4 linked regions of the Diceros bicornis minor genome follow. The protein of the gene in region 4 purifies or fractionates together with the protein of the main gene of each other region. This does not show direct contact. Links are inferred from orthologs where the notes say so. Each region holds a gene or a part of one and is shown on either strand. Other genes may lie near its edges. The genes, in order: SON, FTSJ3, CCDC86 and SRPK3.

Region 1 (7,213 bases), on a different chromosome or scaffold from region 4:
AAGAAAAAGTCTCTGAACAAATTTATAAGCTCATCTTTTTTTTTTTTTTTTAATAAAATTCTCCCAGAAACCTAAATTGATTTAGATTTAGGTTACCTGCATATTTATCTCAGGGAAGGAAAATTAAGATTGCCATCTCAAATCCAAAGAAAAATATATGACCTAACATTATGGGAGAAGCTATAGCCACGATAAAGCCACGCCTGTGCACGGATCATAATCAGTATCAAGGAACACAAACACATTAAGTAAAAAGGGTAACTTGCAGCCTCTGATCAGGTTTAGACTTAAGTTACTGAAATGCCATAAACTTTAAAAACATTTTTATCCAGTTATCAAAAATCCTGGGATTAAAAAAATTCCTGGTGTTCAAAAAAAATTCATGTAAAACAAGTGACAATTCATTATACTAACAGTAAAGGAATGAATGGCTTCACATATTTTCAATTCACAGAGCCAGAACAATCTTGACATTTATTTACCCAGTCATTCTTACTATTTTTGCTTACATTTACAAAATTGTTTTGAAAAATAACTTCAACAATTTAACTTAAATTTTAGCTAACAAAACAGACACAGCTAACAAAAACTTATGCTTCCAATACCTGATAAAAGCCTGAACAGTCAAAAAATTTAAAAATTCAGTATTCAACTAAATGTTATTAAGGAACAGTTGGTTTTCTAATATAATGAATCATATAATAACAATGAACATTTATGGACCATTAATTAGTGTCACCCAATTCTACATTTTAATAACTCATTTAATCCTAACAAAACTCTAAGATCATCATTATTACTCTCATTTTATAAACGAGGAAAACGAGGCAGAGACAACAAACCTAGCTGAAGGTCACATCTATTAAGAGGTGAAACTGGTATTCAAAACCAGAGCTCATATTCCTAACCCCCATCTATATATGATAACTATCTAAATGGAAGTCTCCTTACCCAAACTGATACATATAAAAACAGGTGGGAAAAAATGCAAATATAGCTCACTGAAATGGCAAATAATCAAAAATTTGTTTTCAGACTGGTAACATATTACCTATTATTTAAGAAGCTGAGCATTCCTCTAGTAATAAATTGCTTTAATATCCTTTTTAGATTTTCTTTCCAGAACTCTTCATTTTACACTTTTCTTAAGCACTTACACATACATAATTACCTCACTAAAAAGGCCAGTCTATGAGAAAGTTATCCTCTTAAAGCTATCAGAATGTTTACCTCAATTGCTGAAAAGGGATGAAAATTTCAAACCATCTAACTATCCATCAATACGTTCCTACAATAGAAGTCTAAAGAGCCATGAAAAAGTCCCAAAAGACTACTAAGACTGTAATAGAACACAAACTTGTTCACCATATGTATATTACGTGAAAAAAAACAACACAAAACACGATCACATTTCTCAAAACATGTATATGCAACTGTACGCAAAGGAAAAAAACGAAAGGACATAAAGAGCATCAATATAATTAATTGGTGGATTTTTATTTTCTTTCTCCTCTTTTTTCTAAATTTTCTACAATGAAACTCATTTTCTATTACAAAAACTGATTCTTAAAAGGAATAAAAACAAGGCATTACAATAAAAAAACACAACTACTTATTGCACGCAACTATTAAAAAGTTTTCAGGAAAATTATATTCCCTTAGCTCAGGTCTTTTCTCATCAACCTAAAATCACTAGCACAAAAAAATTTTTAAAGCAGTGAAATGAGTGAAGAGATACACCTTCCAGTTAAAAAACAATATATCCTGCAAGAATAATAATTCCAGCAATACTACATCATTGCCCCCAATAACTCTATGTTAATTTGAGTGCTTAATTTACAATTGCGTTTTCGGCTGATTTTCAAATTCACGTATTGCTCTTGCTCTCAACTTTTAAAAGACAACTAGCAAAAACATTTGAACTCGGAACAAACAGTTACGTTATTATACAAAGCAAAAATACTAAAAGACAACCACTGAACGACAACATGATCCACGCTATTCTCCCTACTGAGGAAACAACTATTTCTTCGGAAATCTCTTCCCATTCAAATTTGGGGAATCGAGGATAAACTACGTAAATTCTAACAGCAAAGGCAAAAGAAACGTGTTGCTCAAATATGTCACTTGGGGCAGGGGTAGCAAAAAAAAAAAACTGAGACCTACACACAAACCCCGCTTTCCACTTGGTAAATTCAGAAATCACTAGTAATTCCAAGTCCCCTTCCATCCCCGCCTGGAATATTTCGCCAAAGTAGCTAACGTGAATCTGAGCCGTTTTAAATTGCTAAGCTATTAGAACGCGGCCTGGTGGAAGCCACTGGACACTAGGGCCCAAATAATCTAATTAAAGGATCCCGATCCCCAAATGATCTGCAGCTTGCAATAATAAAGCGGATTTAAGATTACCCAAGAAACAGCCGTTAGAGACCCTTTCCGGTCAGAGGCACCGGCCGGCGAGAGCCGCGGAGGCGGGGAGGGGGAGGGGGACGCGGCGGCGGCGGAGGAGGAGCCGAGGCAGGAACTAGGCCCGTCCCCGGCGGACACCCAGGCCGCCGAGGAGCCAAAGGGTAGGGGATGACCAAACCGGAGAGGAGGGCGAGCATCGTAACTCGGTTCTAGAAGAGGGAGTCTGGGGTTCCCTGGGAAAGGGCGAAGTTCCTGGCTGGGAAGGGAGCGAACGGATGGGGGGGGAGGGCCCGGAAAATGGATCCCAGGCCCAGGCGGGGCTGTAGCGGGGCCTGAGGCGAGGAACGACGGCGCCTCAAAAGAGAGGTGCCATGGAAGGCTACACGGCGCCCTATCGGTCCCTTGGGAGCAGAAGAGTCTGGGAAACGTTTACCTGGAAAGTTCCTGTTGAATTTCCCGGAATTTACTGACCACGAAAGACCTAAATATCTGCTCGATGTTGGTCGCCATGGCGTCCGCTCCGTTCTCTCAACTCCTCCTCGCTAGTCCTCCAGGCTCCCAGCATGCCTCGGGAGGAGGCGCAGAGGCCAATTCCGTCTCTCGCCGTCCTGATTGGCTCCTGGGAGAGCGCCCAGACCGGCACGTTCCACCGCTGAACCAATCAGTGAAGACGGCTCCGCTCTCCTCCGCTGTTTCTGAGCGTCTGGGGTAGAGCTGCTGACGTTTGCGCCGCGCACGACTGTGTCCGCCATGTTAGTGACTGACGCAGGCGCCATTACAGGAGAAGTCTCTGTTGAGGGAAGTCTGCGAGCTTAATGTGTCAGTCCCCAACGGTGTTTGGGGGACTTAAGAGGCTTATTTTAGCCACCGAACGCCCGAGATTAAATGTCAACAGGAAAGGGAGCAAGAAGGGCAACATGGTGTTTGATACGGGCCCCCCAACATTCCCGGGTGGCGCCAAGTTGAGTTTCAGCAGGGAGATGCGTCCGGAAAAGCATTAATCAGCGCCCGCCCCCACTGTGGTGCAAATACGAAGAACACGCTTTCACCCCATCTCTCTCGCAGGGGATCCTATAATCGGCTTCATTTCCTTTTTTTCTTTTTTAAGCAATAGGCGGGAGGTCCTGAGCCATCTGCATTCAGAGGCTGGTGCATTCTAGTCCCGTCAGGCGCCAGGCGTGTCACGAGACTTGTACGCGCTGCCTGGTCAGTTCTGCCTCGTTAGCAACACAAGCAGCTAAGCGTGGAGTTAGCATTTTGGCGCTGCCCCTCCTCTGAGCTTGGGAGGCTCCCGAGAAGGAACAGACACGCTACGTGGGCCTGATCCTCTAGTGTTACAAGAGAAACGCGCCAGGGTCTGATAGCCTTGCTCTGGAGTAGGCTCAGGGCGCGCCCGGCGCGGGAGGGAGTCCCACTTAACCCCGTCTTAGCGGGAACCAGGGGCCGCGCCGACCAATGGGGAGGAGAAGCCCCGCGGGGCGGGCGGGGAGGCGCGGGCCCGCATCCGCTCGGCCGACATCCGGCGCGGGCAGGCGAGGCGGGTGAGTGCAACCTGGAGACGGCCTTGTGTCGGTGCGTAACCCCCTCCGCTTTTAAGTCCATTTATGCTTTGGTTGGGGGCTTTAATACCAGGCATCGAATGAAACTGTAGGAACTGTTCGGCTGTGGGGATTGTCTTATTTTTAAACGCCGTGGGTGGTGGGGGGTGACCATGTGCTTTTCACTTCTTTGGACTGAGGTTTCCATTGGCTCTGTCACTTTCCCTGCTTTCTAAGATGTCGGGACCTTTTTGTGTCTTTAGGCTTTTTTTAGGTCGTAAACCTCAATTGCGTATTTTCTCGTTATGCACCCACTGCCTCCAGCAGATTATTTCGTCGACTTTTGGAATTGGTTTCTGCTTTATATCATTCACCAAATCTTTTGAAATGGCTTTGCCTGGATCTCTCATTCTCGTTATGTTACCCATTTAGGTGACAGAGGCCTAAGAAGGTTAATTAAGTCCCTCAAAGTATCCTAGCTTAAGGGGCAGAGTCTTGGCCCAAAACAAGGCCTGCTCCCCGCTCCTGAGGTAGATTCCTTCCAGCTGAGTCCTAATGCTATTTCAGTGATCCACTTTACTAACCAGGACAGTTTCCCTTCCCTGCCCCTCGTATTCCAACTGAACGTAATATTTTCTCCAGGTTCAAAGGTATGTTTATTTCAGATATTTTAATACACGTGTCAAGTCTGTGCTTTCCATTAAACTAAAATAGCTTGTCCCCCTCTGAGAGGGTAATTTAGCAGGGTTTTTTTCTCTCCTCAAATTTTCAGTGATCACCGTCTCAATCGTTAGGGTATCTGAAGCAAAACTGCATCCGTTGGAATCCAGGCTCCACCCCTTACTGGCTCTAGTGACCTCTAGCAATTTTACTGGACCTCGCTTTATCTGTAAAGTGGAGATGGTAATAGTATCTACCTCATAGGATTCTTACAAAGATTAAGTGACGTAATTCATGAAAACAGTTTAGAATAGCATCTGGCACAAAGTAAGTGCTCAAAAAGTGTTTTTTATATTATCAGGTTAGATTTTTCTTTAAATGGGTAATCCTATCGTCTCATAAGTTACTGATTTCAGTCTTCTTTTTCCTGTTATCAGTTTGCCTTCTACATAAATGTCTTCTGAAAATTAGTAAATTAATGTGACAAATTATTCATTACTTTGGCTTTTTTTTTTTCCTGTTAGAACTTCTTTCTATCCGTAGAGTACTATCAATTTAGGTAAAAGTAATAAATAAAATATAGCAAGTTAGCGTTTACTGCTGCTGAGTGTCAGAAATTGCACTAATTGTTTATAAATGTCATTTCAGTTAATCTTAAGTAGCCTCATAAGGCAAGTTCTCTTACTTCCATCTTTTAAGATGTGAAGAAATTGAATTACAGATAGTAAAAGCTTACTCAATGTCACACTGCTCACTTGAGTTGAAAGAGAGTGCTATTGCACCCATCCTGCTCAGAATCATATGCCAGAACTAAAGTGAGATGTGTTCAGATTTGATTTTTGACTTTTCTACCAATTTTCTAACTTATTGCACTAATTTCTTAAATCAGGGGTCAGCAAACTACGGCCCTAGTGCCACATCCTTCCTGCCGCCTGTTTTGGTACAGCCCACCAAATAATGATAATTTTTATATCATTAAATGATTGGAAAAAAAATAAAAGGAAGAATGATGTTTTTGACACATGAAAATTATACAAAATTCAAATTGCGGTATCCATAAATAAAGTTTTTTTGAAACACAGCCATGCTTATTCTTTACAAACCTCTGGTAGCTTCCTATTGCTTAGTGCAGACTGTGACCTACAGGCCACTGCCTATGTATACTGGACATAGCATCCATTTATGTATTGGCTGTGGCTGCTTTTGTGCTACAGTGACAGAGTTCAGTAGTAGTTACAGAGATTATGGCCCTCAAAGGTGAAAATATTTACTATCTGACTTTGTAGCCCCCAGTCTTAATATTGCCTCCAATTTATGATAACTTTAACGTCTATTATCTATACGATCTCAAGGTTTAAAAACAGTTATTTCGGGGCCAGCCCGGTGGCATAGTGGTTAAGTTTGCGCGTTCAGCTTCGGTGGCCCAGGGTTCGCTGGTTTGGATCCCAGGCGCGGAGCTACACACTGCTCATCAAGCCATGGTGTGGCAGTATCCCACATGCAAAAGAGAGGAAGATTGGCACAGATGTTAGCTCAGGGACAATCCTCCTCAAGCAAAAAGAGGAAGATTGACAATGGATGTTAGCGCAGGGCCAATGTTCCTCACACACACGAAAAAAGTTATTTCAAGTTTTGGGTCTAAATTTAAAACATCAAGATTCATTTTTAACTGAGGCTTGATGATTACTAAATCTTCTAAAGGAGAAGCCCAAGGAAGGGTGATTATTCATAGATTTTTTTTTTTAACAGGTAAAGAGCTAAGTCGCTGTTGCATTCCTTAACCTAGCTGTCTAGGCCCATCTGCCTCATTTTTAAAATACCTCCCTAATCATTATGAGTACAGTCATATTTCTTAAATTATGAATCCTAATTTTTCACAAATAAATTGTTGGAATAAAATGTCATTGTATGAATACAAATGACTACGTAAATCATGTTTAGAAATCGTGACTTCTGAAGTATGTGCATTCTGAAATACCAACTGTGCTTTTCTTTCTGCAGCTTTCATTTTCCTTTTGAATTCCTGCTTTGCAGACAGCAATGGCAGCTCGAGTACTTGTAATTGGCAATGGAGGAAGGGAACATACGCTGGCCTGGAAACTTGCTCAGTCTAATCATGTCAAACAAGTATTGGTTGCTCCAGGAAATGCAGGCACTGCCTCCTCCGAAAAGATGTCAAATACTGGTAATTATGTTTTAAAGTGGGGAGTAATAGTTAATAATTGTAAATGATAAATTGTCACCTACATCTGTTCTTTATAAGGTCACTTGCTATTCTGATTTGAATACTTTTCCTAACCTTAAAATTTGTGTGGTAATTTGAATACTTGGCATATGTTGTAAATTTTAGATATCCTGTTGTTCAGAGTGTGGCATCTCCTTACCTTAAATTATTTTAAACCTTATAAAACACATCCATTGGAAAAGTCACAAGTGTCTAATAGAGGTAAAAGGCATTTTGATGGGTATTTTTGGAAATGAGAAGTTGAGCAGTGCTATTAAATGTAAGTTCTGGCAATTCTAACTCCATAATAGATCTCAACCCTTATGTCTTCCACTGGTAAAAATGAAAAAATGATCAGATCATATGCTACATTAAACTCTTC
Region 2 (7,456 bases), on a different chromosome or scaffold from region 4:
GTGACATGGACTCGCCGCTCCCGCAGGGCATACATGCCAGCCTCAGTGCACACGCCCTGAGAAGGGAAAGGAAGACAGGCGCTATTGCTGTGCCTTTGAACCCAGAGCTTCCTGCTTCTGCCCCCTTTCCCTTGGGCACTCCAATTACCTTCACTTCAGCCCCTGATGCTCCTGGCATGAGCTCAGCAATTTTTCTTAGGTTGATCCCCCGAGTCAGGTTCATTTTCCGAGAATGGATCTTCAAAATGTCCAGCCGGGCCTAGCGATGGGAGAGGAAGGGTTTGAGCCCCAAAGCTTACCCCCATAGCCAGAGCCACTCCCAGCACTTGCCCATCACAAACCTCCTCATTGGGGGGTGGGAATTCAATTTTTCTGTCGATGCGCCCTGGGCGAAGCAGCGCCGAGTCCAGGATATCAATCCTATTAGTAGCCATGATAACCTGAGTGGAGAAAGGGGGTGGCATCAGCTAGGCCCTTCCTCAGGCTGCAGGTCACCCAGGCCCTTCCCTTGGCTCATCCTAAGACGCCACCATACCTTGATATTCTTGGTGGCCTCAAAGCCATCCAGCTGGTTGAGCAGCTCCAGCATTGTGCGCTGTACTTCACTGTCCCCTCCAGAACCCCCCTCCAGTCGTGAGGAGCCAATGGAGTCAATTTCGTCCATGAAGATGATGGATGGAGCGTGTTCTCGTGCCATGACAAACAGCTCCCTCACCATTCTTGCCCCTGTGCAGAGGCCAAGCTGGCATTAAGGAGTTGATGAGCTCCCAACCCTTCACCTCCACCCCTTCACTTCCACTTGGTTTTCATGTTTCTAGCCACATGATTTACCTTCCCCAATGAATTTCTGTACCAATTCAGAGCCAGAGACACGAATAAAGGTACAGTCTGTATGATGAGCCACAGCCCGGGCCAGCAGTGTCTTCCCAGTGCCTGGGGGTCCATACAGCAGCACTCCCTAAAGAGAAACAGCAGGACTCAGGGCAGAAAGCCAGCCCCCTCATTACTGAAGGCTTGCTCTGTGCTAGATGCCATGTTAGATGCTAGAGATACAAAAAATGAATGTTACGGTCCCTTCTGGAGCTTGTATCTGAACTACCTCAGTGCCCTGGCAACATCTCTCCCCTAACCCCTCTTTAGAGGGGAGGGTCAGCTCAAGTAGGCTGTAGTCTGTCTCAACCCCTGTGCTCAGTCTGGCCTGGGACAGGAAGTATACAGTACAGCCCTCCCACAGAGGCCCTGCTTCTCACCTTGGGTTGTGCAATGCCCAGCGCTTCAAAGAGCTCAGGATGCTTAACAGGCAGCTCGATCACTTCTTTGATCTCCTTGATCTGCTTATCCAGTCCACCAATCATCTCGTAAGTTGAATCTGGCACTTTCTCCACCATCATCAATGAAACCAGTGGGTCCACCTTATTGGGCAGGATCTTGTGCAGAGTGTAGCTGTCATTTCTTAGAGCCACTCGGCAGTTGGGTGTCACCTGGGCGAGGGGAGATGATTTCAGGAAGTGGTGTGGTGAGTGCTGACCCCAGCCTCCCACCTCACCTGCTGCACTCACATCATTGATGTCAATGTTCTTGTCCACGTCCACAACAAACTTGCCCTCAGGATGTACCTAAAGACACAAGGGGTCGTGACTTTCCCTGACAGCCACCAAATCACCAACCTCACCCAGGAAGACCCATGAGTCCTCGAATAACATGACAGAACAGTGTCCTCCACACAAAGCTATGGAAATACAGTAGGCAATGGGCTGGTCCCTGGAGTCATGCTGCCTTTACCTTAACCAACACTTTCTTCTTATCCATGGCCCGGACGACTTCCCCCACATAGGAGCCCTGTTCCTGCAGCAGCTGTAGCTCCTCCCGCAACAGGCGAACTAGATGCGAAACAGACATAGTGGTCACCCAGCTTTTTTAGTATTCCTCTCCCCCGCGACTCAATTCGATATGCATGAACTAAGCCCCATTTTAAAGTTTTGAAGGGAAGGCCACAAAAAGAAAGTAAAAATTCATGTCTTTAAGGAGATTACAGTGGGGCTCAAGAAAGAGATGTGCATGTGCACAACTGTATAACAGTGCAAAGTATCACCTTGGACTGGGAGAAAACAATAAGTACCAATGTGAAGACTCACTTCAGGGAGATCTGAACAGTCAGACCTCAGACAAACTGCCCACATGCAGCCTTCCCATCCTTCCACTCTCACCTTTTGCATTAAGCTCATTCCTCTGTGCCTGCAGCCTCCGGAGATTTTGGCTCTTGTCATTCACAATTAGCTGTGGAGGACAACAAACAAAGGGCAGAAAATAGTCCAAGGTTAAGATCTTGGCCAAGACCCTCATAGGCTGCTATGAGCTGAGTGAGGGAAGAGCACAGGGCACCTGCATGTTGTTTCAGATTTTCCAATATGATCCTAATGACCCTTCCTGTCCTCCAAGAATCCCTCTGGAACCTAGGGCAGCCACCAAAAAAGGCTGCTGGTCTAACACTGGTCCAGGAATCACAAGCCCTAATGGAGAAAAGTTACAGCTGGCTCAGGCAGTCAATTTCTTGCAGGGCATTAACATGGGAGAGTGGGAAGATACTCCTCAGTTCTAGCCCCACTGCTGCCAATTAACAGCTAGGTAAAGCTCAAGAAAGCCATTTAAAAGGTCTAGATCCAGGCCGGCCCCGTGGCTTAGCGGTTAGGTGCGCGCGCTCCGCTGCTGGCGGCCCGGGGTTCGGATCCCGGGCGCGCACCAACGCGCCGCTTCTCCAGCCATGCTGAGGCCGCGTCCCACATACATCAACTGGAAGGATGTGCAGCTATGACATACAACTATCTACTGGGGCTTTGGGGGGAAATAAATAAATAAAATCTTAAAAGGTCTAGATCTGTTACCGAACTACAAGTAAATATAGCATCACCTACCCTGCCTCTCTTCAGGACTACCATGAGGAACAAACGAAATAACACATAAAAGCATTTCACAAATGATAAACCAAACATAACACCTCCAATGTTAACTAGAGTTCAAAAACTTTCCTTGTGGCTTTCCTCCATCCAATTAGTTATTTTCCTTATCTCTATGGTCCCTGCTCCCTCTTTAGGCTAGAGCACCGGGTAGCCCAATTCCTTTTCATTCAGTCCCATGGAATCAGCATTGTCCAGACTCCTCAATTCCATCTTTCCTCACACTCTCACTCTGCCCCAACCCCTCTCTGATAAATCTCATCTCCGGAATCTGTCTTCCCTTTTATAAGGAACCCTCCCATTCAGGCTTCTTCCAAAAGGAATGGCCTTTGGCTAGCGGTACCTTTTCTGTTAAAATGTGACTCTTGAAGATGTGTAACAAACTGTGAATACTGATTACCTTCAAAGGGGTGGGATTTGAGGGGAACAAGAGACAAATTCAGATACTTTATATCGTTGGCTTGTTACTTCTTTCGCTGCGCCCCCAGTGGAATTAGATGGATTTGTAGAAATCTGCTCCATCAATCCTTCATCCCCCTTCTAGCTCCCTCTGGACCTCTGGAGTCTGTCCTCACCTGGAGTTCTTCAATCTTGGACAGATAATACTGGCGGAGTCCACTGCCTGCCTTCCCCTCTTCCAGCTCCATCTGAAGACACAGAGTAATTACTAAACAACAGGCTAAACATCCAAGGAATAAAGACACTTCCAGCTTGGACTCTGGAGGTTTAAGATCTGGGTTCTAATCCCTCACGCCATCTCTTCAGAACCCTCCATTTCCCCATGACTAAACTAAAAACAGAATGAGAATGCTGCCTACCTCATAAGACTTTCGGGAGAATCAAGAGAGCAGAAGCGCTTTGTACCGAATCAAGCGCCGTACAAACTCGAAGTACTATTACTACAAGCGGAGCCAGGCAGAGGGACGGGCGCTCCGTTTCCTGCGACTCGCGGCCGGGCCGGTTCCCACTCCCATCGCTCCTCTCACTCACTCCGCTTCCACCGTGTCTTCCACTCCCGTCCCTGCCCTGACCCACTGGGGGCGGCGCTGACACAGCAGATCCGGTCACAGGCAGGGCCCCGTCTGGACTGGTCCACCCACTCCCGACCCACCTGACCCTCCTGCCCAGGCCCGCTGCCCACCTCGTATCCAGCCTGCTCCGCATCCAGCCCTGGTCCCCGCCCGACCGCCGCCGCCGCCATACCTGCTCCGGTCCGTCAAGCGCCATCTTCTTTCTTCCGCGAAGACCGCCGGCAGCCAAACCGCCTTGGCGCGCAGGCGCAGAAGCAGGGGCTTGGAGACCGCAGACGCGGGAGAAGAGTTCCGGGTCAATGGGCGGAGTGTGCAGAGAGACGATAACAACTGGGGCCGTGATGGGAGGGGCTTCCCGCGGTCAGGAGAATTGGAAGGTGATGAAAAGGGCACAGAACTCCTAAATGTTACTCCCTAGAAACTCTGTTTTAGTTCAGGTAATCTTCTCTCGTTTTCCCAATTTCCAGCTTTTAAGACCTGGGGAGAGAGTAGTTACAGAAAAAATTATATGGCCACACTCAAAATGGCGGAAAACTTGGAGCCAGGGACGCAAGCGGCGCAAGCAGAAGCGGAAGTACGTTTGCTGCCTACATGTGCGGCTCCAACGAGGTTGAAAACGGCGCTGGGTGGAGGTGAGTGGTGCAGGGTTGAGTGGTGTGGAGCAAGGCGCAGAGTATGGTTGCTACGGCAAGTGGGAAACGGAAAGCGGAATGTAGAGCTCCGGGAAAAAGACGTTCCAAGTTCTACTTTCTCCCCAGACTGAGTGACACTCCCCGTTTCCACCATGGGCAAAAAGGGCAAAATCGGGAAGAGCCGGCGGGATAAGTTCTATCACTTGGCGAAGGAGACCGGTGAGTCGGGGTTCGCGCCGTCTGCGAGCGAGCGAGCGACCATCGGCGGTTCACCTCCCTTTTCGAAAATGAGTTTCTTTTCCGCAGAAGAGTTGGTGGGTTGTGAGGCCCCAGAAATCCCGCTGGGAGAGCGTTCGCGAACTTGATTATTTTGTCGCTGCCCCCAGGTTACCGTTCCCGCTCTGCTTTCAAGCTGATCCAGCTGAATCGCCGCTTTCAGTTCCTGCAGAAAGCCCGAGCCTTGCTGGACCTGTGTGCTGCGCCAGGGGGATGGTGCGTAACACCTGGCACCTGTCGCCCCTGGTGGCAGCTGTCTGGGTTCTGGCCTTGGATGACTGAGTTGCACTGGGGCAGGGATACAGTAATACCACCTCAAATTTTTATACTTTCCAGAACTTAGACTGCAGAGGAAAGATTTGGAACGTGTATGTGTGACATTCTCTGGCCACTGCACTTGATAGAGGCTCCTAACACTGGGGGTGAGAGATCACATTGCCAAGGGAGGAAAAGGGACGGTGCCGGGTATTTTAATCTTTGTTTCTCTTTTATAGGCTGCAGGTGGCTGCCAAGTTTATGCCTGTATCCAGCCTTATTGTGGGTGAGTGACAGGTGGCTCTCCTGGGTGTTTTAGGGGCTCAGAGTATGAGGTACTGTGTTCTGCATTTCCTTCGTCCCTGCTTGAGTCAGCCTTTTGGAATACTCTGATCTGATTTCTTCCAGGAGTGGACCTGGTTCCAATCAAGCCTCTTCCCAATGTGGTGACACTCCAGGAAGACATCACAACAGAACGCTGTAGGCAGGTAATCTCTGTTCCCTTAATATGCACACATCCATGTCTGTTCCTCTTCTCACCCCAAGTTCCCTGAAGGCACGATTTTTGCTGTTTACCATGCCTTGAGCAGTGCATGCAAAAGATGTCTGTATGCCAAGCCCTGTGATATGCCTAGTGTCCACTCCACCCTTTATTTAGTCAGGAATGAGGTGTTTGGAATTGGAGGAAGTGCAGAGATTGCAGTGAAATCCTTTCCAGTGGGCTCACTAGTAGGCTGTAAGCTCTGTGAATACAGGGAAGTGTTATTTTTGTTTATTATTGTATCCCTTGTGCCAGACACAGGATTTGTTGAGTGGGCACTCAACAAATGGCTGGGTGGACAAATGGCTGAACCAGGGACTCCATTCATAGCCATTCTTGTGTTTCTCTTGCTGTAATACTTTGTCTTCTCTGTAGGCCCTGAGGAAGGAGCTGAAGACCTGGAAAGTTGATGTAGTGCTTAATGATGGAGCCCCCAATGTTGGGGCTAGCTGGGTCCACGATGCTTACTCACAAGGTGCTGGGAGTGGGGGGCATGGAGATAAGGGTGGAGGTGGAGGTGGGCATGCCCTCTCAGACTGCAGAGGTCTTCAGCTAACTCTCTGTCTCCCACAGCCCATTTGACACTGATGGCTCTGCGTTTGGCTTGTGATTTTCTGGCCCGTGGTGGCTGCTTCATTACAAAGGTTTTCCGTTCCCGTGACTATCAGCCCCTACTATGGATCTTCCAGCAGCTGTTCCGCCGTGTCCAGGCCACCAAGCCCCAAGCCTCCCGCCATGAATCTGCAGAGATCTTTGTAGTCTGCCAGGGTGGGCATCACTTCTTTCTTTCTCTTGACTTCATCTCACAACTACCAAAGCACATTTTCTTATATGTTCTATCATCTTAGGATTCCTGGCTCCTGACAAGGTTGACAGTAAATTCTTTGACCCCAAATTTGCCTTCAAGGAGGTTGAAGTTCAGGCCAAGACTGTTACTGAGTTGGTCACTAAGAAGAAGCCAAAGGTGTGTTTGGGAAATGGGCCCACCCTCAAGTCTTGGAACTATAGGGAGGCTGGGCCTGGTGGGTTGTACAGACACCCCAGAAGGGACTGCTTAACCTTCATCTCCCTCCCTAAGGCTGAGGGCTATGCTGAGGGCGACCTCACTCTCTATCACCGTACCTCAGTCACTGACTTCCTCCGAGCTGCCAACCCTGTTGACTTCCTCTCCAAAGCCAGTGAGGTGAGTCCTCAAACTTGAGGGGTGTAAGAGAGCCCCAGAAACATGGCCTGAGAATCTCTCCTGACTCCTTTCCCTCCTCCCAAACAGATCTCTCTAGATGATGAAGAGTTGGCACAGCATCCAGCTACCACTGAGGACATACGGGTGTGCTGTCAGGACATCAAAGTGCTGGGGCGCAAGGAGCTTAGGTATGTGGTGGGAGCAGGTGTAGGTGCTAGGAACTCTGAAGGCAGGGAAAGGCCTTTCAAGACCATGACGTTGAATCTTTGGGAACAGGATGCCGCTGTTAGAGGTTTGGGGTGGAGGCCTGAGCCCTAGGGTTTATGTGGCTCAAGAGTGAAATCTGGACCTAAAACAGAGGAAGGGGCAAGGACAAAGGGAGCCAGTAAGGTCAGTAATGGTATTTCTGGGTCAGGTCCCTACTGAACTGGAGAACGAAGCTTCGGCGATATGTGGCCAAGAAGCTGAAAGAGCAAGCAAAGGCCCTGGACATCAGGTGAGGAGGAAACTAAACCACAGTAGGTGTTGACGGGAGGTGTCTGGGAAAATAAACAAATTCCTTGGAATGTTTTGTTAGCCTCAGC
Region 3 (7,617 bases), on a different chromosome or scaffold from region 4:
GACCACAGAGTCCAGGCACACGGCCTCTGCTGTAAAGTTCTGCTGCTTCTGCCAAGTGCAGTTGCCCTGGGCATGAACACCTCTGGAGATGGGGCTCCCTGCCTACGGAGGTGGCCCGTTCCATTTCAGAACAGCGTGAATGGTCACAGTTCTCTGTGATGAATCAGGGGAGGGTGTGAAAATAGAGTAGGCATTCGGGGATATTAGGGAAGCCTTGACTTTCTTAAGAGTGACAGTGACACTATAGTCATAGGGGAAGCGAGACTATCTGTGTAAGAATGCATCCCACAAGGATTTATGGGTGGAATGACATATTTAGGATGTGCTGTAAAATATTCCAGGAAAAAAAAAAAAAAGAAGAAAAAAGTGTCGAGGAGCAAGATGACGCTACACGAGTAAAATGTTGAGAACTGGTAAAGCTGGTGATGAGGACATGGGGGGTTCATGAAACCATGCTCTCCCCTTTTCTGTAAGGTCTTTCTCCTGGAACGATTTGAAGCCTGTTCAGGTGTCCCACGGGCCTTTTCTCCTTAGCAGATCCTCTCATAGTGGCCTCTCCACCTCCCCCACCAATTTCTTGACTTCTGAGAGCTCCTGTTCATCCATGTCCATTATATTGTGCCCCAAACTGCCAGAGTAGGTCAGCCAGTCCCACCCCAGCCTCTGAAGGCTGTTGCGCGCAGGGCACAGCCCCCTCCTGTCTATGGAGGAGAGTCTTCTGGGCCGTTTTCCCCGCTTCTTGCTCCACAGGAGTCTAGCACACACAGCCCGGACCCTGACCCCAGACCCGTCCATGTTCAGCCTGACTCTGCCCGCCCCCTTCTCCGACTCTGCCTGCCTCTGACCCCAGCACACCACCCCCTGCTCCTTCTCCCCCTCTCCAAGAGCTCGCTGCTGAAACCTGGTCTTCTGAGCACAGAAGAATTTTCCTACCCCAAACTGGGGTATGACAACCCAGAAGGGACAAGGCAGTGGGGACCTGGGCACACACCGCACTACAGGTCACATCCTGCATCTTTCTAGAGCAGTGCTGCTGAGCAGAACTTTCTGTAATGGGGGAAATGCTCTATATCTACGCCGTCCAATAAGGTAGCCACTCCTCACACTGGCTGTTGAGCACCTGAAATGTGGCTGGCGTGACCGAGGAAAAGAATTTTGAACTTTATTTAATTTTCATCAGTTTAAATTGAAATAGCCACATGTGGCTGACAGCTAAAATATTGGGGCAGTTCCATGGCATCAGTCTTACCTGGAGACCCAGCTGCTCTGGGTCTCAGCACCTTCCCGTGTTCAATGGAGACGAGAATCATGCCCATTCCAAAGGGTGGTGGGAAGATTAATCTAGACAAGACTCAAGAAGCACTTAGGACAGAGCTCTGCACACGGTAGGTGCTCAATAAAGGCCACCCTTCAGAGAAGGCAGACAGCACACCCATGCAGCACTGTGCAGAAGGTGGCATTTGGCATGAGCATGGAAGGTGGGGCTGCAGCTTCCCAGCCGGGACCGCCTCCCTCCATATCCCCCCTTTGCTGGGCCACTTTTTGCAACACGAGCTGCCTTCGCCACCTCTGGACTCACTCACCACCCACCGAAGCTGCTTCCTCAAAGATCCCAAACATAATTCCATGGCCCTTTGGCCCTTAGCCACAAGGCCTGCCTGCAGCTCTGAAGGTGTTTTAATTCTCCTGCAGGCTCTCTGCTTTCACCCCTGCCCTCCCACAGTCTGTTCACCCCCGGTTCCTCTGCAGAGCCTCAGTTTCCTCATATGTAAACTGAGGAAAATCCTAACACCTGCTGCCCCATAGGGCTGATATGCGGCTTCAATGCGTGCTGGTCCCTCTGTCTGAAAGGCCCTTCCCGGGGCCAATCCTTACTAAACTCTTACTAAAGTGTCCTATATACTCAGCGCTCAGGAATACTTTTTATCACAAATGCAAATAACTGTAACAGATAACAGTGGGTGAAGACCGCACTGCTTTTTATCAAGTACTGCCTGGCTTACTTGCTTCTGCCTCCCTCTCTAGAGAGAGGGCAGGCCAGGGGAAATGTCTGTTGAATGAATACACAAAGGAGATGCTACAGGAGAGGTCCACAGGGAACCTGAGGAGGAAAAGCATCACAGAAATAACCTTTGAGGGCCTGGTCTCACCTTCCCTGGGTCCCAGGCATTTTACCACCTTCTGATTATAATGACCTGTTTGTGTCCAACTCCCTCTCCAACCCAGGGGCTGTCTCCAGGTCGCACCCCAGCCCTGCCCAGCTGTTCCCCACTTCACCTCTTCTTGGAGCGGTCCTTCCACACCCGCCCCGACTTGGGCTTTCCCTTCGGGATCAGGGGAACCTCATTCTCCTCCTTCAACTTCTTGGACGCTGGGGCCCGGGCTGGAGAACCTTTTCGCTTCTTTGGCCCGAGGCCGTCTCTCCCCGGCTCCCCGGCCGCAGGTGGCTTGCTCGGCTCGCGCTGACCCCGGGGGAAGCCAGGTGACGGGGGTGTCAGCTCCTGTAGCGGCGGCGAGGGCTCCGGACCCGGCGCTGGCTGACCGGGGTAAGGCTCTGAAGATCCTGGGCCCGGCTGCAGCTGATGTCGGGGGGACCCCGGGGCCAGCTCCTCCTTCCTCTGGGCCAACTCCGAGTCCGGTTCTTCTTGGCCCTGGGAGCACTTTGGCGACTCCCCACTTGGCTTTCGCTGTAGTCGGGGGGATTCTGGACTCGAATCCGGCTGTCTTGGGGGCGACACCAGGCCTGGATCTTGCTGACGCCGGGGGGACCCCAGGCCAGGTGGCCGCACACTCCGAGGAGAGCCGGGCTCCCTCGTTTCCTCTGGGTTCGACTCGAACTCCACAAGGGCCCGTCTCGCCCGCAACACTGAAGTGGGACTCTCGGGGGACTCGGGTTTTAGGCCTTCCAGCCGCCGGCTGCGTCTCAGCGGGGTATCCATGCCCCAGCCAGCAAGTTCCCAAACCCGAGCCCACGTGCACCCTCTGGGACAACCGGCGCCGGCGTATGACGTCAGGAGCCGCCACGTCTGTGCTGGGCACGAGGAGCTGTTGCCTGGGAGGCCATGTTGGTGACGGGCGGAGAGGCGGGGTTGGCGGCCCGAAGGGGCTGGGCTTACTAGGCGCATGCGCAAAGCGCTTGGGCGCATTCCTTTGATTGATGAGCAAGTCTTAGCTTGAAATCCGCGCTTGGCCTATCTGCAAACACAGGCTCTCAGGGAAAACACAGTGTGCAGGCAGAGAAGGGAAGGGGGACCCATTTCCGGGAGAGAAAAAGATTGGAAAAAGATCCAGGGAGCCCGTAGGCAAGGCTGGATGGAAACTTTGCTCCCATCGCCTGTGCAGTTGGGCTGGGATCCCACCCTCTTTGGGACTCAGTTTTTTCATCTGTAATATGGGTGATTTGCATTAGTTTAGTGTATCTAAAATGATTCTGCTGCCAGAGTGAATGTTACTTGGCGGATCCTGGAGATGGGAAATCACTTAAGTCTTGCATTATATAAGTTTGCACATCCTTTTCTTCTCCCATTCTGTGCCTAAGTATCAAGTCTATGGCTCTCCCTTTGCAACATTTTCAGCATTGATGCCTGAAGTTGAGGTACCCGTAAGATGCACCCCTTTTGTTCTGTGGCACACCTGGGCCCTCAGCCATGCTGCATACCCTCTCAGGTCCCCCTTCTGCCCCATTTCTAGACACAGGGATTGGATTGTCTCTGAGCTTCCTTTCAGCCAAGGCAGCCGTCTTTGCCCCAGTGTGTGAACCTGCCTCCTCCCCTCCTTTGCGTGAGACCCAGGAGCGGGCTTTGAGTCACTCACAGCACGAGACTTTCTTAGGAAGAGCATCTTGGAAGTTGCCCAACTACATCCAGCTCTTCTCCAGTGTTATTTTTGGGCATTGGCCCTCAGGGATCTAAGGTCCCTGTCTGGCTGTCTCAGTGGCTTCTTTTAGAAACCTTTGTTTCTTCAGCTGAGTGGTTGTGGGAGGGCCTGGGAAGTTGTCCACGGGTGATCAGGGGGCAGAGGAGGACGGCCAGGGCCTGGTTGCTGAGCACAACCTCCAGCTGCTGAGTCACTCTGCCGACAGTGGAGCAGGAGTAAGTGTCAAATGAGGTCCTGCGTGTCTTTTTTTTTTTTTTTGTGGGGAAGATCAGCCCTGAGCTAACATCCGTGCTAATCCTCCTCATTTTACTGAGGAGGACCGCCTCTGAGCTAACATCTGTTGCCAATCCTCCTCCTTTTTTTTCTTCCCCCTCAAAGCCCCAGTAGATAGTTGTACGTCATAGTTGCACATCCTTCTAGTTGCTGTATGTGGGACGCGGCCTCAGCATGGCCGGAGAAGCGGTGCGTCGCTGCGCGCCCGGATCCGAACCCGGGCCGCCAGTAGCGGAGCGCGCGCAGTTAACCACTAAGCCACGGGGCCGGCCCGGTCCTGCTTGTCTTGATTGCTGATCAAGGAGGGGGCAAAACCAGAGAAAGCTTCCTGGAGGGTGGAAAAGTGGATTGAGAATGCCTTAATGCCTCTCCCTCCTTGGCTGGTGCCACACAGCATCCAAAATGCATCCTGATAACTTTAGCCTGTGAAATCACCTCCCTCAGGGTAAGACGATGGCACGTCTTCTCCACTGGACCTCCGTGTCGTCCAAAATAATTGTGCTGAAATCATATATCAGTCCCTGCCTTCCTGGCCCCTCTCAGAGGCTCCACCCGCAGGATCAGCGCTCTCATGTTCCTGGGCCAAGGAAGGCCCTGCACTGAGGTTTCGTCTCAGTCTTCTGCCCAGCAGAGCAGCTCCCCACTGCAGAAGCGGCTCAGACTCCTCCTTGCCCAGCTTTCCAGCCCTCGGTTCCTTAAATTCCCTGCCCCTGCCTGGAGACTCCAATGGCCTGCCACTTAGAACCGTGCCACGCTGGAGGAGACTGTACGCCACCCCACTGCCACTGCCCTGCTCCGGGTCTCCTCGGCTCCCTGCTTCCTGAACTCCCGTTCTCCCTCAGCTGGAGGGATTGCTCTCAAAGGCCAGTTGGGTTAAATCCTGGCCTTACTTAAAATGCTTCAGAGGGTAATCTCAGGTACCTGCCAGGGTGGTGTGAGAGAGGGAGACGTCTTACAGACATCCCTCAAATCAGGCGTGGAGACCCTTAATCAACGTGGCATCACGTGAACTTGGCCTGGAACCCTCCACTCCCTCCTAAGCTCAGTTGTCATTGTCACTATAAACAGTGTGCAGAGGCCTAGGGGAGACTCCTGAATTTTTCAGAAAAGCCCAGTGTGGCAGTCACTGTTGGGACTCTGTTCCCTTATACGCCTTTGCTTTCTGCTGTAGCCATCCTGGACTCTTTGCCCTTGGGTGGGAGGATGCCAAGGGAGTCTCTAGCATCCCTCCAAGACCCCCGGTAGGACTGAGCCCCAGTTGTCTATGAAGGTCACCTGATCATTCATGCACTCTCTTTCTTTCCCTGTGCCTGCCTCACTTTCCCACTCCTTGTGGGTGCTTCTGGGGCATTCTCTGAACAGACTATTTGCACTAAAATCCTTGTCTCAGAGTCAGCTCTGGAGGAACCCAGCCTAAACCAGTGGGGCGAGCAGTTATTGGGCCAGGCCTTCTTTCAAGAGCTCTGGACGTACAAACCCATCTAATCCTCACAACAACCCTGTGAGGCAGGTGCTGTTGTTATGACTCCCCTTTCACAGATAAAGAAACTGAGGCACAGAGAGGCTGGGACACTTGTAAAAGTCACACAGCAAATAAGTGGTGGAGGTGGGATCCATACCGAGGCTGTCTGACCGCTGGACTACAACTCATTTTTTTTTTTTTTTGTGAGGAAGATCAGCCCTGAGCTAACATCCATGCTAATCCTCCTCTTTTTGCTGAGGAAGACCGGCTCTGAGCTAACATCTATTGCCAATCCTCCTCCTTTTTTTCCCCAAAGCCCCGGTAGATAGTTGTATGTCATAGTTGCACATCCTTCTAGTTGCTGTATGTGGGACGTCGCCTCAGCATGGCTGGAGAAGCGGTGCGTTGGTGTGCGCCTGGGATCCGAACCCGGGCCGCCAGTAGCGGAGCACAAGCACTTAACCGCTAAGCCATGGGGCCGGCCCAGGACTACAACTCTTAAGAGTAAATGTCTCTGTTATCCAGGTAAGGAAGCCGAGGCACAGAAAGGCTAAGGTGCTTGCCCAAGGTCACACAGTGACACATTGAAGGGCCAGGATTACAGTTCCAGAGCTGACATGCTTAGCTGCCTTAAAACTGCCCCTTATGTGGGCCTTGCTCGCTTGTTCCTCACACTGATACTGGTCTGTGCATTGGGAGGGGCTGGGTGCCACCTCACCCCGAGGACTGGCTGTGGCTCTGTGTGCATACACATAGGGCAGAGTGTGCTGAATGGGCAATCCTCAGCTTATTTATGCAACTGAGATCTGCTGACTGAAGGAAACCATGCACCACAGAGGACTGAAGATAGGGATCGGGTATTCTTCTCTGAGCCATCCGTCCTCCATGCAGCCAAGGGTGCTGATGTGAGAGGGTTTGACAGTCCAAGGTGTTGGGGGCCTGTATCCCGCGGTCCTCTGCTCAGCACAAAGATCGGAGATGGGCGGGTCCTGCCAGCCACTATCAGCACTAACTGAGCCCTTCCTAAGTGCTGGGCCTCTCCTGGTTGCTCGTTTAACCCCCTGGAGCATCAATGCAGGAATGTGATTGCCTGCACCAGCACCCTGCTGGATAAGCATTTGCTGAGTGAGTGGAAGGATGCTCATTACAACCCTCCAGGGCAGGGATGAACATCCCCAGTTTACCGACAAGGAAATCCAATGCCGAGAGAGGTTGTGATTTGGGACAGGGTGACACAAGGAGAGGGTGCAAGGTACAAGGACAGAACTGGAACTTGGGACTTCCCTGCTCCAAACCCGAGCCCTCACTCTCACGTCCGGCAGGCCCAGGATTGGGAGATGGGGGCTGAGGATGTGTAAGGACTTCCTCAGTCTGGGGGGTGCATCTGGTAAATGGGATGTTGCTGAGTGTGGCTGGAGAGAGAGCAGGACCCCGACGAGGCAGAGTTGTCACTGGGCTGGGGCTGAGCATGGCTGTTCTTCATTGGGCCACATGTTCCAGGCTGCCCTTTCTTCCATGCTGAGGTCTCTTAAGTATTTGAACACAATTTTCTTGTAGCTTCCCCAGAATTGTCTTTTATCCAGGCCGAACATCTGCTCCTTCAGCTGTCCCTCCCATGACAACATGGTAACTTTTTGGAAAAGACATCAGTTCTTGATGAGCCTTCCAGAAAGTGGTGCCCAGAGCTCCCTCAGGCAGCCAGGGTTGACTGCCCCATGGAGAGCCGAGTAGATTTGTCACCTCCCTTCTCCACGATTCCTATCAGTGTGGCCAGGTCCCCATCCTCTTCCCAAGGGTGAGCCACCACTTGAAGCCCTCCGTCTGGTTCCAGCTGCTGTTCCCCGATCCTGGACATGAGCTGTTGGCTTTTCTGGACAAGAACAGGATCTGTCATTTAGCCTTACTGCCTTTTTTTTGACCTCTCCGGCAACCCCGCTCTCCTCTTTCAATATTGGCTCCCCATTCCTCCTATGTGTGTGTGCACAGCTGCTTCTAGGTACCTCAGA
Region 4 (7,884 bases):
CGCTGTACATGCTCCTCCGGGCTATCCAGTACCAGGTGGACAAGGGGCCTGTGGACGCCGTGACGGGCAAGGCGAAACGGACCCTGAACAACAGCCGCCTGCTGCGGGAGGACGTGGAGTTCCGGCCCCTGACGCTAATGGTGCTGGTGGGCCCCGGGGCTGGCGGGGCCTCCGGGAGCAGCGCGGCACAGCGCGTGCCCGCCCGGGTCCTCGACACGGACACCATCACCCAGGTCAAGGAGAAGGTGTTGGACCAAGTCTACAAGGGCACCCCATTCTCCCAGAGGCCCTCAGTGCATGCCCTAGATCTTGGTAAGAGAGCCCGTCCCCTCCTCCCTGCCTGGGCCTGTTCCCACGTCTCCATGCTCAGCTCTGCCTTGCTCCAAATGGCGGACTTGGGGAACAGGCTCTGGGCTGATTGGCTTCCCTGGGTCCCTCCAGAGTGGCGCTCGGGCCTGGCTGGTCACCTAACCCTGTCAGACGAGGACCTGACCTCGGTGACCCAGAACCACTGGAAGAGACTCAACACTCTGCAGCACTACAAGGTGCCGGGTGGGCATGGGCCGGGGGGCGGGCCCCCGCCTCTGGATCAGCCAGGGGAGGAGCCCAGCCTCTCCTCCCCTCCCCGCCAGGTCCCGGATGGAGCCACAGTGGGGCTCATCCCCCAGGTGCACAATGGAGGTGCCATCTCCCAGAGCTTGGCCCAGAGCTGCCCCTCACGGGAGAGTGAGTCCTGCAGCCCAGACGCACTCATCTGTCCCCAGGACCTTGAGGCGAGCCGGCAGGAGTCCTGGGGATGCCATCTGCCTTGCCTGGTTCTCCCCACCACCTTGCCAGCGGGCAAGCCAAAGCTCCAGGCTGAGCCAAGGGCCTGGGGTGGATGAGGGCAGCGGTGTGTCCTGGTCAGGGAGCTCCAAGGTAGTGGGGTGTTGGGCTGAGCAAGTCCCTGGGCTGCCACCCTCCTCTCCACATCTCCCCTGCCCTACTTTCTCGGCTCCCCCCACCCTGCTCCACCCCACCAGGTGAGTGGGCTGGGCATCCTCAGCCAGTGGCGTGGGGTTGGGGGCAGAGGCATAGGACTGAGGTGGGCTTCTGTGCCCTCAGACATCCCCATGCCAGAGGACAGTGAGGAGGGTGGGGTCCGCCTCTGGCACCTGGTGAAAGCCACCGAGGAGCCAGAAGGGGCCAAGGTGCGGCGCAGCAGCCTGCGGGAGCGGGAACGGGAGCGGGCACGGGCCAAAGCCATTCCGGAGATCTACCTCACCCGATTGCTGTCCATGAAGGTCAGTGTGGTGGGGGAGCCAGGTGGCGGGGAAGGCTCACCAAGGGGGCCCCAACTGAGCTGCGGAGAGGGCATGGCCCTGAGAGGCAGAGGGGCGGCCCCACCCGCTGACAGAGCCTGGGGCTGGCCACCACCTCGAGGGCCCCACATCCTGCTCGTCACCCAGCCCCCTCCCCTGCCTTCCAGGGCACACTACAGAAGTTTGTGGATGACACATTCCAGGCCATCCTCAGCGTGAACCGGCCCGTGCCCATCGCTGTCAAGTACCTGTTTGACTTCCTGGATGAGCTGGCAGAGAAGCACGGCATTGAGGACCCGGAGACCTTGCACATCTGGAAGACTAATAGGTGCCTCGGCTGCTGCCCCTGCCCCCAAGCAGATGGGACATGGAGTCCCAGAGGGACAAGGACATTACCAGAGCGGGGGTGGCAGGCCCAGGACAGGAACCCAGGCTTTGCGGCACCCACCCTGGATTTCTGGCTGCCCCCAGCATGGGCTCACAGTACAGCTCCCCAGGGAATGGGGATCCTGGGCTGGGGCCCAGGCTGATGATGTGAGGCCCCATGCCCATGGACGGCCTGTGTCCCCAGCCTGTTGTTGCGGTTCTGGGTGAACACCCTGAAGAACCCACGGCTCATATTTGACGTGCGGGTGTCGGACAATGTGGATGCTATCCTCGCCGTCATCGCCCAGACCTTCATCGACTCTTGCACTGTCTCAGAGCATAAAGTGGGCCGGGTGAGAGCGGAGCTGGCTGGCGGCAGCCAGGGGGTTCAACAGGAAAGGGTGATGGGGAAACCATGGGGGCTCGATGCAGAGCAGGGTGGGGCTGGGGGATGGTGCCTAGTGGGAGCCAGGAGGTCAGGGGGATGGGGCCCTAGTGGCGCTGTCAGGGTGACAGGGCCGGAGCTCCACTCCCTCCCCGCTGACGCCCCACCCCCCCGACCCGGAGCAGGATTCCCCGGTGAACAAACTGCTCTACGCCCGGGAGATCCCCCGCTACAAGCAGATGGTAGAGAGGTAGGTGTTGGGGCATCACGGCTGGGGGTGGGGGCTGCCCGCGCTAACTGTGTCCCCTTCTCCAGATACTACTATGACATTCGCCAGAGCTCTGCGGCGAGCTACCAGGAGATGAACTCGGCACTGGCTGAGCTCTCTGGGGTGAGGCATGGTCCAAGGGGTACAATCCTCCACATTTAGGGGGCAGAGTGGAGAAGGGAGACCTGGGGCTTGAGGCCCAGGCTGGGGCCTCATCCCCCCATGTGCTGCCCCCAGAACTATGCCTCTGCTCCCCACTGCCTGGAAGCTCTACAAGAGCTCTACAAGCACATCCACAGGTATTACGACCAGGTGAGGCCCAGGGCACTCCAGGGGGGAGGGGCAGGCCCCCAGAGCCCAGAGGGAGGCCCCAGGAACCTCCCTGGGGGCAGGGCGGAAGGGGCTTGGCTTCCATCCGTATTCCTCAGGGAGGCCCAGGGCAGCCCCTACAGGATCCCCAGGCCAATGCTGAGACGGAAGCAGAGCTGGGGGGCCCTGGGCCAGTGAGCAGAGGGCTAAGGCCTCAAGCAGGGTGCCCTCCTCTGCCCTGGCAGATCATCAGCGCCCTGGAGGAGGACCCTGTGGGCCAGAAGATGCAGCTGGCCTGCCGCCTACAGCAGATCGCCGCCCTGGTGGAGAACAAGGTGACTGACCTGTGAGCTTGGGCCACAGCAGGTGCCAGAGGCCGCCAGCTTGGAGAGCAGCAAGCAGGACCCACCACCGCAGTGCCTTACGACCCCTGGATCAAGCCAGCACCAAGAAGGGGCCAGCAGGGGGGGCAAGGGGCACAGCCAGGTGCTGTGCCTGCCCGGGGGCTCCCTGCTGCCTCTTCCCTGCGCCTACGCACCCTTCCTTCCCCCACCTGGGCTTCTTTCTAATTTATAGCCATCCTTACCCCTTCCCCCCTCCCTCACTGTATTTATTTGCTTGCTAGAGAATCACATCTGGAAATAAAATAGAAATCTGTCTTTTTAGAAAAAGCCCCTGCCTTCCCCGGCGAGTCTACTAGGTGCTCCCTGCACGGCCTTCCCCTCGGCCCCATGGCTGTGGCTTCTGCTGCCTGAGGAAAAATGGGGTCATCAGGCACCCCCAGGCCTTGCTCTCCTCCCTCCACTTGCCTCCCCTGCCCCTGTCCTCCCGCCCCCATCTATGCCCACTCCACCCTACCAGTTCTTTCCTGGCACAGGGACACAGGGCTAAGTGTCTCCCACCTTAGGCTAACTACAGTCATCTCCACGCCCCCTCCTTTTCATTCTGACTCCCCAACAGCCCCCAGCCGGCCTCCCAACTCCACTCTTGCCCCCTCTATTCCCTCCTGGCAGCAGTCAAAGTGATCTTTCTAAAGAGCAAAAGTGCCCAGCAGCCTCTGCTGGAACCCACTAGAGCCCACAGGTGCCCCTTGGCCACCCGAGGCCTCCCTCCTTTCTCCCACAGGGGTCTCCAGCCCATCCTGCTGCCGCTTACCCACCCACCCCCTTTCTCGAGACCCGATTCTTCCTGGTCTCTCGTATGCAGCCCCAAGGTCACAGGCTCCAGAGGGCTTTCCCTGACCTGGATGTCCCTCTGTCACAGCTCGGTCGAGATGTGGGCTTGTTTGCTCTCCACTAGAGGAGGACCCCTGAGGGCACATGTTGGTGAAAACAGTGAGCAAGTCAGGGATCGCAGGCCTGGAGCAGAGAGGGAGCTGGGAGGGAGAGCACACAGACTCACCGTGGGAGTCCTGGATGGGCAGGTTCCCAGGCTTCCACTCAGGCCCGGCACCTGTGGTGGGAGGAATGCGTTGCCTTCAGCTCAGGCCTCTGACCCTCACCCAGCCAGGGCCCCCAGTGACACCACATTCAGGGAGAGGAGGGAACTGGGCTCCCATCTGTCTTAGGGGTCAAAGAGCCACAGGCAAAGTGGGAACCTGACTGAGAGTGGGCAGGGAACGGGGTACCCATAGGAATGGGAGGAATCACCTCAGGGAAGGCTCCCACAAAGGCCAAGCAGGAAGCCAGAGAATGTTCCAAAAGTGTCACTTGGTGCCCTATGGCACGTGGGGGGTGGGGTGGGGCTCTGCCTGAGTACCAGGTTGCCATGTCCACCATGTCCTTGCATGGCTGTCCCCCTCGGCAGGCTCTGGAGTGCGGGGACTCAGCATGGGGACCAGGTCACTGCCACATCTGCACTCAGTGGGCCCCTCTGCCAGCCCTGGGGTGCAGGGGCTTAGCCTGGGGAACGGGTGGCCACATCCCCACATGCCTGTCCCCCTTGGTCCTGGGATGCGGAGGGGGGCTCAGCGAGGAGGCCGGGTTGTGCTACGTCCCCGCGGTGGCCCCCTCTGCCAGCCCGGCGGGGGTGCGGGGGCTGGGGGTCTCGCCCTGGAGGCCGGGCTCTCCGGGCCGCCATCACCGCACCGCCCCCTCCCCGCCGCATACCTTGCCCACAGCCGAGCAGCTGGGAGGCTATTTATAAAGTCGGGTGAGATCAGCGGCCGAGGCTATAAATGCGCGGGCCGCGGCCAGGCCCCACAGGAGCAGCCGCCCGGGGCGCCGGAGCTGCGGGCCGCGCAGCCGGGATGAGCGCCAGCGCGGGCTGTGGCAGGGACAGCGGCAGCAGCAGCAGGTAGGGCTCGGCCCGGGTGCCCGGGGCCCCTGGCGTCTCGCGCACTCACTGCCCACCCACCCCGCCCGCAGCTCGCAAACCTCCTGCGGCCCCGAGTCCTCGGGCTCCGAACTAGCCCCTGCCACACCAGCACCACAGATGCTGCAGGGGCTGCTGGGCTCCGACGACGAGGAGCAGGAGGACCCCAAGGACTACTGCAAGGGTGAGGCCTGGCCTCAGGCACAGGCAGCCACGCAGCCTCCTCAGGGGCGCAGGACAGCCAGGGTGGAGGGTGCCGGAGCTGGCCCATATGGGCCAGGGGTCCAGCAGGGCCAGGCTGTCCTGGGGCATAGCGGAAGGCGACGTCCCCCGGCATGCTCTATTGGCTTCCTTCCCCAGGTGGCTACTACCCCGTGAAGATTGGCGACCTGTTCAATGGGCGGTACCACGTGGTGCGCAAGCTGGGCTGGGGCCACTTCTCCACCGTCTGGCTCTGCTGGGACATCCAGTGAGTGCCCCCTCTATCCCTCCGGGGCCCAGTGCCAGCTGGGATCCTGGCCCTGGACTTGGCTGGGGTCACCACAATGTCCCCTGCCGGGGTCTAGCCTGGGCTGGCAGCCGACACGGGTCTTGGTGTTGCAGGCGCAAGCGCTTCGTGGCCCTGAAAGTGGTGAAGAGCGCAGGGCATTACACAGAGACAGCTGTGGATGAGATCAAGCTCCTGAAATGTGTGAGGCGCCTCCCCTACCCGCTCCCAGCTCCCCGAGAGCTGCCTGGGGCCTGGCAATGTGGGTGCAAGGCCTGCCGGGGCTCCTGGGGCGGGGCTCCCAGAAGGGCTGGCTCCAGCTGGCTCTGCCCCCGTGGGAGGACCTGGAGGAGGAGGCGAGGGAGGGGCCGGCGGCCTTTCTTTCGGTAGGGCCCAGCCAGACAGGGAGAGAGGGCCATAGGTGCCACAGGGGCCGTTGAGGGGAGCAGTTGGTGAGGGACAGGTTGGAGCCATCTGTGGCCCCTTGGCTTTTGCTCCAGGTCCGAGACAGTGACCCCAGCGACCCCAAAAGAGAGACCATTGTCCAGCTCATTGATGACTTCAGGATTTCAGGAGTTAATGGAGTCCGTATCCTTTGTAGGCTGAGCAAAGCCGTGTGGCAGTGCACGGGCCCCTTGTGCCCTCCCAGCTACTGGGGCCTCAGTTTGCTGATCTGCACGATGGGGGTTTACCCCTTCCAGTGACACTAGTCTATGAAATACTCCCACCACTTTGGGGATGTGTTTATGTGGTGGGGAGTGGATTACCAGGTCAGCGTGGGTTACCCATGGGCGTTGCTGAGTTACCCCTAAATGGCAGGGGCCGCCTCTGTGGCAGGGCCTTCCCTCCATGGGGCTGCCCGGAGGCTCTTTGGCATACCTGGGCATAGGAGTGGGGCTGGCCTGAGAGGCCTCCCTGTCTGCTCCTCCAGTGCCCCCTCCCTAGGAGGACCAGAGAATGGAGCATCCCAGCTGGCACACCTGAGAGTGACAGGGACACTATAACGACACCAGGATGGTGGTGACTACCAGGACCACCCAGGCCCAGCTGTGCACTGCTCAAGCCTCATTGCTCCGCCACCCTAGCCAAGGGTGGGTGGGACTTGTGCCCCAGCTGTGTTTCCACTGGCTGCCCTTCACTCTTGGCCCCAGATGTGTGCATGGTGCTGGAGGTCCTGGGCCACCAGCTCCTCAAGTGGATCATCAAGTCCAACTACCAGGGCCTTCCCGTGCCCTGTGTGAAGAGCATTGTGAGGCAGGTGAGCATTCCGGGCCCTGGGTGAAGAGCACTGTGAGGCAGCTTGGTTGGGGCTGGTGGAGTTCAGGAGTGGCTCTCCCCAGGTGCTGCATGGCCTGGACTACCTCCATACCAAATGCAAGATCATTCACACGGATATCAAACCTGAGAACATCCTGCTGTGTGTGGGGGACGCCTACATCAGGCGCCTGGCTGCCGAGGCCACAGAGTGGCAGCAGTCAGGGGCACCGCCCCCATCCCGCTCCACAGGTACCAAGATCCTGTGTGTGGCTAGGATGGGTCCTGTGGGTCTCAGCCCTTGCCTAAGTCTCTGTTTCTTTCTCTCCCCCTGTGCTCCGCCTGCCCCTCCAGTCAGCACTGCCCCCCACGAGGTTTTGGTAAGTTGGGGCGCCCCTCGTTTCCTGCGCCTCATCTCCCCATCTCCTCGGAGCTCGCCTCCTCTGCCTCTCTGGTTCCACCCCCTCCCCAGCACTCTTGCAGTGGCACTTCCAAAAGGCTGTGTGGCCCGGAAGAGGGTGATACACAGGGTGGGTCACATGCCCCAAACTGCCCTTGGTGGCTGCTAGGCTTGCCACTGCCTCAGTGGTAGGACGCTGCCTCTAGGACTGGGAGGGGCCAGGGCTGCCGGCGCCCAGAGGAAGGCAGGCCTAGCAGCTCCTTTCCACCCTCGACCTTTGGGAAGTGGAGGGCAGGAGGGGAGACAGGAGGTGGGTGAGGGGCTGGAGGGGGTGGCACCGTGGGGCATGCGGGCCACGGGCAGAGGCTCGGGCTGCTCAGGGGATGGACAACAGGAACTCTGGGGTAACCTGGCTCTAATGGCAGACTGGAAAGCTGTCAAAAAACAAGAGAAAGAAAATGAGGCGCAAACGGAAACAGCAGAAGCGGCTGCTGGAAGAGCGGCTGCGGGACCTGCAGAGGCTGGAGGCCATGGAGGCGGCGGCCCAGGCCGAGGGTGAGGGGCCGGAGGGGGCGCCGGGCTGCCAAGCACGGAGCAGGGTCTGCAGGGGCGTCTGCTCACGTGCCGCCTCCACCCGTCTCCCCAGACTCTGGCTTGAGACTAGAGGGGGGCAGCGGCTCCACATCTTCTTCCGGCTGCCACCCCGGGGGGGCCAGGGCTGGCCCCTCCCCAGCCTCCTCCTCCCCCGCCCCGGGGGGCAACCGCAGCCTCAGCCCCAGCTCCCAGACCTCAGGCTTCTCT

Evidence for each region.
Region 1: the proteins of SRPK3 (region 4) and SON purify together in Homo sapiens (affinity purification with mass spectrometry; 3 studies listed by BioGRID and IntAct, with this or other methods). This does not show direct contact. The link is inferred for Diceros bicornis minor from reciprocal best matches to the Homo sapiens genes SRPK3 and SON.
Region 2: the proteins of SRPK3 (region 4) and FTSJ3 purify together in Homo sapiens (affinity purification with mass spectrometry; 3 studies listed by BioGRID and IntAct, with this or other methods). This does not show direct contact. The link is inferred for Diceros bicornis minor from reciprocal best matches to the Homo sapiens genes SRPK3 and FTSJ3.
Region 3: the proteins of SRPK3 (region 4) and CCDC86 purify together in Homo sapiens (affinity purification with mass spectrometry; 3 studies listed by BioGRID and IntAct, with this or other methods). This does not show direct contact. The link is inferred for Diceros bicornis minor from reciprocal best matches to the Homo sapiens genes SRPK3 and CCDC86.

Annotation. Positions count from the first base shown.
Region 1 is NC_080766.1:34,056,851-34,064,063, reverse strand, and holds the start of SON (protein SON), read right to left. Parts: upstream 3,005-7,213; 5' UTR 2,920-3,004; coding exon 2,843-2,919; intron 1-2,842. Other genes in the region: GART (trifunctional purine biosynthetic protein adenosine-3), read left to right, coding at 6,648-6,792. UniProt on the Homo sapiens protein: RNA-binding protein that acts as a mRNA splicing cofactor by promoting efficient splicing of transcripts that possess weak splice sites.
Region 2 is NC_080757.1:46,648,037-46,655,492, reverse strand, and holds the start of FTSJ3 (pre-rRNA 2'-O-ribose RNA methyltransferase FTSJ3), read left to right. Parts: upstream 1-4,441; 5' UTR 4,442-4,617; intron 4,618-4,743; 5' UTR 4,744-4,769; coding exon 4,770-4,836; intron 4,837-5,003; coding exon 5,004-5,109; intron 5,110-5,387; coding exon 5,388-5,434; intron 5,435-5,556; coding exon 5,557-5,636; intron 5,637-6,064; coding exon 6,065-6,164; intron 6,165-6,262; coding exon 6,263-6,457; intron 6,458-6,537; coding exon 6,538-6,653; intron 6,654-6,767; coding exon 6,768-6,872; intron 6,873-6,959; coding exon 6,960-7,060; intron 7,061-7,287; coding exon 7,288-7,368; intron 7,369-7,449; coding exon 7,450-7,456. Other genes in the region: PSMC5 (26S proteasome regulatory subunit 8), read right to left, coding at 1-56, 149-259, 342-440, 536-726, 832-958, 1,251-1,481, 1,560-1,616, 1,783-1,880 and 3 more.
Region 3 is NC_080770.1:12,563,594-12,571,210, forward strand, and holds the start of CCDC86 (coiled-coil domain-containing protein 86), read right to left. Parts: upstream 3,010-7,617; 5' UTR 2,940-3,009; coding exon 2,278-2,939; intron 1-2,277.
Region 4 is NC_080781.1:137,846,414-137,854,297, forward strand, and holds the start of SRPK3 (SRSF protein kinase 3), read left to right. Parts: upstream 1-4,877; coding exon 4,878-4,924; intron 4,925-4,995; coding exon 4,996-5,126; intron 5,127-5,302; coding exon 5,303-5,411; intron 5,412-5,545; coding exon 5,546-5,633; intron 5,634-5,929; coding exon 5,930-6,017; intron 6,018-6,580; coding exon 6,581-6,687; intron 6,688-6,769; coding exon 6,770-6,935; intron 6,936-7,037; coding exon 7,038-7,063; intron 7,064-7,508; coding exon 7,509-7,638; intron 7,639-7,729; coding exon 7,730-7,884. Other genes in the region: PLXNB3 (plexin-B3), read left to right, coding at 1-312, 442-545, 633-726, 1,105-1,283, 1,469-1,629, 1,873-2,020, 2,238-2,302, 2,368-2,443 and 2 more. UniProt on the Homo sapiens protein: Serine/arginine-rich protein-specific kinase which specifically phosphorylates its substrates at serine residues located in regions rich in arginine/serine dipeptides, known as RS domains.